Linked DNA regions of Bombyx mori. The protein of the gene in region 1 binds, or shares a complex with, the protein of each later gene. Links are inferred from orthologs where the notes say so. Each region holds a gene or a part of one and is shown in the gene's direction. Other genes may lie near its edges.

Evidence for each region. Proteins that work in one complex are often made in the same cells at the same time.
Region 2: exosome complex component RRP45 (region 1) and Rrp40 share a complex: the UniProt entries of both Homo sapiens proteins name them as parts of the RNA exosome core complex. The link is inferred for Bombyx mori from reciprocal best matches to the Homo sapiens genes EXOSC9 and EXOSC3.
Region 3: exosome complex component RRP45 (region 1) and exosome complex component CSL4 share a complex: the UniProt entries of both Homo sapiens proteins name them as parts of the RNA exosome core complex. The link is inferred for Bombyx mori from reciprocal best matches to the Homo sapiens genes EXOSC9 and EXOSC1.

The regions. Positions count from the first base shown.
Region 1 is NC_085119.1:13,155,639-13,159,828, reverse strand, and holds the start of exosome complex component RRP45, read left to right. Parts: upstream 1-1,390; 5' UTR 1,391-1,427; intron 1,428-1,506; 5' UTR 1,507-1,541; intron 1,542-2,633; exon of another isoform or gene 2,634-2,702; 5' UTR 2,703-3,097; intron 3,098-3,274; exon of another isoform or gene 3,275-3,326; intron 3,327-3,423; exon of another isoform or gene 3,424-3,514; intron 3,515-3,637; exon of another isoform or gene 3,638-3,868; intron 3,869-3,980; 5' UTR 3,981-4,031; coding exon 4,032-4,097; intron 4,098-4,168; coding exon 4,169-4,190. UniProt on the Homo sapiens protein: Non-catalytic component of the RNA exosome complex which has 3'->5' exoribonuclease activity and participates in a multitude of cellular RNA processing and degradation events.
Region 2 is NC_085114.1:14,716,207-14,718,792, forward strand, and holds Rrp40 (exosome complex exonuclease Rrp40), read left to right. Parts: upstream 1-1,266; 5' UTR 1,267-1,345; coding exon 1,346-2,056; 3' UTR 2,057-2,079; downstream 2,080-2,586. Other genes in the region: probable RNA 3'-terminal phosphate cyclase-like protein, read right to left, coding at 1-12, 475-766. UniProt on the Homo sapiens protein: Non-catalytic component of the RNA exosome complex which has 3'->5' exoribonuclease activity and participates in a multitude of cellular RNA processing and degradation events.
Region 3 is NC_085132.1:3,512,780-3,516,373, forward strand, and holds exosome complex component CSL4, read left to right. Parts: upstream 1-1,323; 5' UTR 1,324-1,684; coding exon 1,685-1,855; intron 1,856-2,251; coding exon 2,252-2,500; intron 2,501-2,826; coding exon 2,827-3,072; 3' UTR 3,073-3,087; downstream 3,088-3,594. UniProt on the Homo sapiens protein: Non-catalytic component of the RNA exosome complex which has 3'->5' exoribonuclease activity and participates in a multitude of cellular RNA processing and degradation events.

The DNA.
Region 1 (4,190 bases):
AATAAAACTCGATCGTTTTTTTATCGAGCCAATTTGGTGCAAATACTATGGTTTGTGAAGTTTCCAGTACATCATTTTTGTAAGTCGTTAACAAAGTAGTAAATAAGGTTGCCTTCTTTTGTAACGCCGTAGCAAAGCATATACATATAGGTACTAGGACCTCTTGTGAGTCCGCACGGGTAGGTGCCACTGCCCTGCCTATTTCTGCCGTGAAGCAGTAATGCGTTTCGGTTTCAAGGGTGGAGTAGACATTGTAACTATACTGAGACCTTAGAACTTACATCTCAAGGTGGGTGGCGCATTTACTTTGTAGATGTCTATGGGCTCCAGTAACCACTTAACATCAGGTGGGCTGTGAGCTCGTCCACCCACCTAAGCGATTAAAAAAATTAAAAAAGCTTTTACTTTAACAATTTAACAATTTTTAGTGCTACAAGATTATATAAAATACAGAAATTCAACAATATTAAAAATATAAACGTTTTTGTTTGAAAAAACAATAATGGAATATTGTCCATGCAGATTCGATTTTAATTCAAAGAGGCCACCTGCTTAAAGCCGCAACTAGAAAATTTCAATACTAAAATCATCCTATAAAGGTTCTTCAATCAAAATACAAAATAATATAGTTTTTTTATAAGGTATCATCCACATAAAGCTTTCATGTTTTCGTTCTTACAAAATGATCAATAGTACATTAATGGCATGTCGGCATAACTGATTACTAGGGTGATAGTCATATGTGATCACATTTGTGGTAGGTACCTACATATAAAACTAGGTTGTTAGTTTATGTAATATATAAGATTTTTTTTTGTTTTTTTTTTTTTTTGTTATGTCAAATTATAGCACGATTGTACAAGGAGCACCTCGCAAAAAGGGCTACTGTAGCTTATGGACATAACAATTCTATATGCTAACGGAGAATATTGTGGAGAAGAGTTTTTTACCCTTGAGTTGGATTGTCCGCGGCACGGAATAGATAAATAAGGTTATTTATATATTTATATACAACCTTATTTATATATAAATAAGGTTATATATAACCTTATTTATAACCTTATTTATATATATATATATTTATATATATTTATATATATAAATATTATATATATATAAATATAAATATATAATATTTATATATATAAATATTATATATTTATATATATATAAATATATAATATTTATATATATATATAAATATATATATAAATATAATATTTTTATATATAACCTTATATATAAATATTATATATTTATATATAAGGTTATATATAAATATATAATAATAAATAAGGTTATTTATATATTTATATATAACCTTATTTATCTATTCCGTGGTCCGCGGAGTAAGTGATTCTATAAAAGGCACTCACTGTACGAGTTGTACGTGTTTTCATTTTTTTATTTCTCTTGGGTGTAGTGAGGTGTGTTTTCCAAAGCTGGTCGCGTGGTAAAAAATACATAACCAAAGCCTCTCCGTAAACTTAGGTCTACATTCTAAAGGATCCGTATACCACGCGAGCAGAAACCTGTGATTTGTATGTATAGTCATCCAGGACATAGGATATTTTGCATATATAGATATATTTCGTGACGAGGTAATAACTCAATAAAAAGCTACATAGGGCAACGAAGAGCGGATAGTACAAGATCATGCCGAAGATCTCCCATGCAGTGGATCAACTAAATCAATTTCTCCGAATTTTACATTACTCCTAACAGAATGTGCCGAAAATAGTGACCAGTATAAACTCAGAAATTAGCTATAGATAGATTGCGATAGGTAGCATCTTCCTTATGTTTGCTAGACTGAATATTTCTACTCGAAATCAATAGCTGTGTGATTTTAATAGTCGACTAGCGACCTGCCCTCGCTTCGCTTCGGATACTACAATTTATTTATTATTGATTTTATTGAATTTTCATTTATACAAATCTGAACCTGAGAAAACGACGTAATATATTGTATTGGGTAATCCATAATGCTCTACCACGTGGCTCTCAAACTACTTTGTGAGCACTGCCATTACCATATCAACTTTTTTAAATACACTCACTTCTGGCTGCCTCTGGCAATTCATAGAGCTTCAAACTTACTTTACGCTCTTTCAATTGATACGCCGCTTCAATCGGAACTTGCAAACGTATTTTGCATCAGACACGTGCTGATAAAAGTCCATTGTTTATCAATATTACTTTACCTTGAAAGTTGGCATAAAATTTTCCTGAATAACTTTTGTTGCTCCAAAGAACGTCATTTGAAAGCAGTTATTGTTTTGCTGGATATGAGTCAAAAATCTGGCCCATTTCCGGAAACCAACGAATGTATTTTTTTCCTATCTATGTGATAGCTTTAGAGGCTATTTCAGCTTCACTCTAACGTGTAGGGTGTAGGTGGGCTCACGGTGCTCAAGCCGGGAGTGTTGCCAACACTGGCCCTAGCAAGAGCTGTGCTTCGCAGAATCTAGGTAGCACCGGTTGTAAAACGCGACCCGCTGAGAAGATCCGGCGAGAAACTCAGTGGGCAACTAAATGTAGTGGCGTTCATTGGTCCGCAAAACAACGATTTTCTGTAAACTGTCAAATTCATTCTTTACATGCTCTTAAGTATCTATGTTATCAATATACCTAATTCCGACCGAAGCATTTGTTTTAAACGATATTCAGTTTTTTTACATCCTCTTTTACCATATTTGCAGCACGCGTTCTGTCAATGCTATGTCAAATGCCTTATGATTTACATTAGAAAACCATTAGAAAATTTAATACGGTGGTTATTTACCTTTACATTACGCAGTTCATTTTAACATAAATAAGATTACAATTCAAAAATCGGTGTATGTGCGGTGTCATAGAATAGCAGCACCGCCCCATCTCATCCCATGGGTGTTGTAAAGGTTGTCTAAGGATGGTTCAACGGAGAATGGTTAAGTGTTTTTTAGTAGGTATCATACCAAACTGACCTATGATCGTTAACTGGCGTTCCCTGGGTTGGTTGTGGGGCCGTGAGCTCGTTCACCTATCTACGCAAAAAAATGTAGTTTGCGTATTAATTGGGACATTAAGCTCACATCGAATATGTAAGAGAGCACTGGTAAGTAAAATAATTATATTATTTATTTTAGCAGTAAAACATTAATGGGGTTTGGTGGTTTGAAAGATGTTTATAGAATACAATTTGAATTTCGAGCTCTGCCCATATCCCAGGTGTTGTTATTCATATCTTAGCTTGTGCCTATATAGTTTGTGTTTGTGTCAGCCGCTTACGTACCTGCCTATCTGTTCACCTGTGCCCCAGATATTACTTGAGCTCCTGTGCTACTCTAGAGTTCGAACAAAATGTAATTTTTATCAATCATAGAATTAAAATTTTTAATATATACATTTTAAGTATTATTATATAATATTTATAATATTTACATTTGTCCGAGCCGTAGCACAGTACGGATCTCTCCGGAACGTTGTTACGCTCCTCGTGAAATATACGCAGTTCTCGTGAAGTTTTAAGTATTAATTAAGATCTGAGGTCGAGACTTATCTAGGTTGGATTAACCAGGAGCCGAAGAGCGCATGATCAGAATTGTATCATTTTCACAGTTCGATGTCGCTTCAAATTTAGTATCTGTTAACGTACCTATATAAAAAGTGAAACAAAATCTGTGGACGTGACTTTTCGAGGTCTTCCAAAAAGGTTTTGGAAGTACCTAGTACATTTCTATATGTAGCAAACGCCACCAGTTGCTGTAGAGTAATTCCATAATCCACAATAATTCCTTTGAAGTTTCAATAAATTTTCACAATATGACAGGTCATTTTAATTTAATCACAGCTAATTTAAATTAAACAGTTAAAGGTGTGACTTTCATTTGGTTTAGTTCTTTAGGCTATATTCCCTTTGCCTGTTTAATTGAACAAGTGGAATTAAAAAAAAAGTTTAACAGATAACCTAAGAAAAATAATCACACATTTATTGCTAGGTATGCCTCTTTAAACAGAATATTCACAAAAAAATATGAACCAATAACAAAATGCGTGATACTTGTTTATCGAATTGTGAAAAGAATTTCATACAAAAGATCGTATCTCAAGGACATGTAAGTTGAAACTAATAGAATATAACCTAAGACTCTTCTACAAAAGTAATTTGGAAATAAATTGATTACAGCGCTTGGACGGTCGAAATTTTA
Region 2 (2,586 bases), on another chromosome or scaffold:
CAAGATAATAACCTAAAAAGGTTATTTTTTAATTTCAATTTGTCAGTCCGAGGATGAACATAACAGGAAGTATTTAAATGCTGAGTTAATGTTCAGACCATGGTATGGTTTGATTTAGTTTAGATAGTTACATCAGTCAAGCTGATGTCACTAAAACTACTTTCAAAAACAACCAAGGCGTCCTCACTCTGTCAAAACTTATTTTAGTATTTAAACTGGACTCTCCTAGACGGTTGCATGCCTGACAAAAGATTTATTATCCCATCCTATAGTATATATTAACAATATTTATTATGTCCATGCCTTGCTCCACTGAACTAGACTCTCCATGCTTTTAGCTATCAGGAGAATGTGTATGCTGAATTGTCTGAATTTCCAGCTGTAATCAAACTAATATATAATCTTCTAATTTAGAAAACTACATTCCTAATAACGTATTTGACGTGAGTAGAAACTTTATTGAAGACCACTTACCTATCCCTCTCTGGGTACAACAGTTGTGATTAACTTGTCCACCAATCAGTATACCAGGCTGGTAATATACTGAAGTACCGGTTTCGCTCAGCTCGACTCTAGTACCGTTCGTCACTTTATCCAGTAGCCGAATTAAACTGACTTCATATTCCCGAAGACCCGGGTCATCGTTGGTACTGCGAATGTCTTCTATTTTAATAGCACGCCCACTGAGAGTCGAAAGTAGCAATCTTTGACGAAAGTAATTGCTGCCCTTGTATTTTATTACGTCATTTTCAATTACTGCGGGCATTTTAATATAACTAATACTCCGAATTAGTTTTTCGGTGATATGTAAACAGCGAACATGTGCAAACCTCTAGGCACTGCGAGTTAGTCAACTGTCAAAAGTGTCAAAGTAATAGCAATAGTTGTATTTTTTCATCTAGAAAGGCAAAAGTATCAGACCATATACTATCTTTTAAATATTGTGGTATATTTCTATAGAAAATGATGTGGATGAATGAAATGAAGTGAAGTTAGTTTATTTGACTATGATTACGCAGCTTTCCTAGACATATTATGGTATTCTGTGATGGAACCTAAAGTCAGCATTATTTCAATGGATATCAGAATTACATACATGGGTACTGGTTTCGGCTCAACACATTTAATGTTATCATTACTTAATTTTATTTCCTTCGCCTAAATTTCATTTTTCATACAACAATTAAATGCATAAGATTTAACTGGTAGGTACCTATGCGCTATGTTTTCTTTGCCTATTGGATGGACCAATCAAATCAAATAAACATTGCTGTTTTAGAGGTTAGGGCTTTGTATTTATTTGTGTGTTCATTTATAATTCTCACTAAAATAGAACAAAAATATCATGAACGTTTCAATAGATGATGTAGTTTTACCTGGAGATCACTGTCCAGAGATCGTGGCGGCTGGCGAAAAAGGAAAAGTTCTACTAGGTCCTGGACTTCGCAAAGAAATTAACGGTGTTTTTATAACAAAACCAGGCGTATTACGGAAACGAACACCAAATACATACTGGGTGGACAATTATCAGAAGCGCTATGTGCCTTCTAGAGGTGAAAATGTGATCGGTACCGTGGTACAGAAAGCGGGCGATATTTTCCGTGTGGACGTCGGGGGGAGTTGTGCCGCATCGCTGTCATATCTGTCGTTCGAAGGAGCGACGAAGAAAAACCGTCCCGCAATCAAAACAGGCGATGTTGTGTACGCGAAAATGTTAAACGCAAGCAAAGATATGGAACCAGAGCTTGTGTGCGTTGATTCGCATGGAAAAAAAGGCCGACTAGGAGTATTAGAAGAAGGATTCGTATTCAAATGCTCTTTGAATTTAATCAGAAAAATATTAAACCCACATTGTCCATTATTGAACTCATTAAAGAACGAATGGCCATTTGAATTAGCAGCTGGCATGAATGGAAGGATTTGGATCAAAGCAAACACTATGAGAGAGACATTGGCTCTAGGAAACGCGATTTTGGGCTCAGAATATTTGAGTAACGATGAAATTAAAAGTATGTGTAAGAACATAGCAGTTTTACTCGCAGGTCATGTAAGCTAAAATAAATGAAAAACCTTATTAAAGAAATTTGTTTTCTTTTTAAGAAACTTAAATCATTTAGAAAATCTTCAATTAAGAAAATTTAAAGGTTTCATGTTCTGGGTCCCAGAAAAACCATTTGAAAGGAAAACATTTATAAAGTTATAATATCATACAGAATTTTCACATGTTCAATTTCTAGTGGTGAAAGGAAGTCAGCTCTCAGATTGAACATAAATGAGAGAACCCCCTAGGGAATCCATTTACGGATACCCAGTCGAATTGAGAAAAAAATTCAATGAGAGAACCTGACTAATGTTCAATTGACATTTTGCATATATGTAGACTACAAGCAGATCCCGTAAAGGAAACAAAACTAAAACAGTGATGGAAATTTTATTTTGGCAAATGCTAATCTAATTTTGAAATCTCAATACATAATGAAAACTGCTATGGACATGTATTCAGGACATGTAGCATTCCAATACTTATGACATAAATACATTTCATATTAAATTTGAACAAAGCCACAATATATACATAATACCAAA
Region 3 (3,594 bases), on another chromosome or scaffold:
ATAATTTTGCGGGTTTGATTTTTATTACACGATGTTATACCTCCACCTTGGGAGTCAATCGTGAACATTTGTTGAGTACGTATTTCATTAGTAAAATTGGTACCCGCCTGGGATTCGAAACACCGGTGCATCGCTCAACACGAATGCACCGGATGTCTTATCCTATAAGCCAAGACGATGTTAGCTGTGAGTGTTTTGAGTTAATAATATAAATAAGGTTCAAAAATCATTTATTTCAACTTAGATGTCAGTATAACATAGATTTTCACGAACCATATCGTAGCACTAACAATAATCAGTAATTAATTATGTAGATAAAATATATTATTATGGCTAGTAAGATTTTACGAAAATAAGTGAGAATATTTTGCATCATCCAAGTCGATTATGATATTTTAGTAGATGAAATAATAGAGGAAAAACAAATACTGGTGGTAGTGGTGGTGGTACCCTCTTCCTTACTAACGTTTTTTCCGTGGTAGGGAGACGAGCACACGTTCCACCTGGTAAGTAGTCAAAGTAGTAAAGTGGAAAGCCAGCAACGCCATTGCTTACTGCAACAATATTTTTTAATTATTTAGACGAGTGAGAGACGAGACAAAGTCCAGGCCCATCTGGTATTAAGTGGTCACTAGAGCCCATAGACATTTTTTGATTCAATTTTTCCTTATTAGGAAAGGCAAGGGGATCTAAACCCATACAGCCTTGTGTGTTGTATATAATTTCTAAAATGAATTTTCAAAAAAGCCGAAGCCAGGTCTTATATGATTTATATTATATCCTGAAATAAAAAAATCATTAAGGCAGAAGCCAAGTCCTTTATAATTTCTTTCTGAAATAAAACCCAGAGACATCGTAACCTTAATGCCACTATCGATCCCTAGATATGAGTTTTAAGTCTCAGTATTAAAGTACAACAGCTGCCCCATCCTTCATACAGAAATGCATTACTGCTTCGTGACAGAATAATTGAATAGGCAGAGTACTGGTATTTGCTTGTGCTGGCTCACACCACCAATGAATGATCTACAGTAAATCCACATTAGTTCCAGTAGTACCAGTCGACAACGCAAATATTTTTATTATTCTTGGTTTACAAGGTCCTCGCACCTAAGGGGCACGTGGAGAAAAGCTTACCTGAGATCAAAATGTAAATAGCCCAACGTGGGTCTCGAATGACGACTCTGAGATTATGAGTCTCATGCTCTGACTGAGTTATCCGGGATTTTACAAAGGGAATGTCACATCTCAACAATTTAAATAAAAATTGATTTCGTTGCGTTGTACGTTTCATGGAAGAAATGTCACCCTCTATTACGAAATGATTAAGCTCTATAAACTTTGTTTCTTTTACTTAATTAATCAAAGAACGAACAAAAAAACATTTGCACTTTTGTATAATCTATGATTTCACTACGCGATTAAAAAAAAGATCATAACCATAGATTATACACCTAATTTATTTGAGAATCTTATCTTCGCTAGAAGTAATAGTGTTCTGTGATCTTAACTTATGTACATAACAAATAACAAACTGTAACTGGAATTAATAAACAACACAGTTCAACACACTATTATAAGACAGTTTACAATTAAAGACACGTTTTAGCTGTGACGAAAATAATCTAACCGAACTTTAAGTTGTAGTTCAAGTTAAATTGTAAATTCTAACCTCTACTACATTATGAATTTGGAAGAAAAAATAAAAGAAATAGGTTCAATATGTATTCCTGGAATGCGACTGAGTTTATCAAACAAAGACAACGTATCAGGGCCGGGAACCTATGAATTGAAAGGATATATTTATGCGGCTTTAGCTGGAATCTTGAAAACAGAAGAGGATGAAAACACCAAAGTAAATAACGTTACAGTCTTTGTATAAGCTGCCACTGATTGCTAAAACGATTTTATTGCAACCGTCATCCGTGCCTCTTTAATTGTGACTTAAAATGCCCATAAATATGCTCTGCAAAACACTACATTACCATGGACGAAGATAGGTACTGTAGCTTAACAGGTATATCATATGGAATTTACTGCCTGTAGAAGACACTTATGGACACTCGGTTTTATGGTCTTTAGTTTAGGCTTGCTCACTATTTCAAGCAGACGCTTCTTTTAGCAGCAGAATATTTTTTTATGCAATAGCAGATGAAATTCTAAATTCACCCCAGAATTCTATTTCAACAAAATAGAAAATGAAACAAATGAAAAAACCTATAAATTAAACTAATGATTGAAAATTTTTTAGGCTAATATAATTTCAGTAGAAAGTTCAAGAACACCAAGTGTTTTACCCAACACAGGTGACATAGTAACCGCAAAAGTAACAGTTGTAAATCCAAGAACTGTACAATGCCTAATCCTCTGTGTTGGCCCTTCAGTACTTGTTAGAATGTACAAAGGAATATTAAAAAAAGAAGATATAAAGGCAACAGAGAAAGACAGAGTTGATCCATATAAATGTTTTAGACCTGGAGATATTATACTAGCTAGAGTTGTATCCTTTACAATATTATAAACTTGTTAGTATTCAAAAAACCTTTTCACTTTTAATAATGACTTACTCTTTGTTTGTATTTGACTCATTAGATGGGTCTTTACATTATGTACTAACCTTATAGTTTGCCTACCACATGAAACACTTGAGCATTGTGGGATTTTGGAGTCACATTTGCTTAGAAATTATGATTATACTGCAAAATAGAATGCAGTTTTGGTTTTGTATAACATCAAACTCTATGTCTACTCAAGCTTGAAAAATACATCTATTATATTCACTGAATATTAAATAATATATAATCATTTTCCTAAACTGGAATTCAGTTACCAATGACGGAAATCCACTGGTACCAATTATCGACTGCAGAAAATGAACTGGGAGTTGTTATCGCTACAGCTGAAGGATCACCGCAAGGGGTCAGCATGGTACCAATAAGCTGGTCAGAGATGCAGTGCCCTAAAACTCTAGTCAAAGAACCAAGGAAAGTTGCTAGAGTTATACCGGAAAATATTAATCAATCACTCTTTCCAGTTCATTCAAAGCAAGACAATCATCACACTGATAAATAATTTTTATTTCAATTACAGACATGTTTTATTTTATTAAATTTTAGGCAAACAATGTATTCATAAAAAATTATATTAACTCTAATCTATTTCTGAAACTTGGAATGTTGATTATGAGAGTAAAACTATTACCAAAGTCAAGGGTTAAAAATTTTTGCTGACTGTTGAATACTCGCAAACTCTGGGTATTAATTTGGCTGTAACCAAGCACATTGGTTTTAGTCTAAGGTAGTACCCCTGAACACCAGCTGTACCGCTTCGGCGGCCTTGTTAACATATTCGTTTTTCTGGGTTACTCCCACGGACTGCATTCTTCAAGCAGCAACAAAACATAATAACTAAAAGTTTAAGTGTACTTTTTTCACCTTGAAGGATTGACATCATGTAATAAAAATCAAACCTGTAAAAATTTTAATTTCCATAATAATTGGTTTTCATTTCCATTGGCTTATTTTTTCCTGAAGCGTTAGGTAATGAGTTACAGTTGTACAGACTGTAAGGACACATGTCTTAAGAAAGGACGGC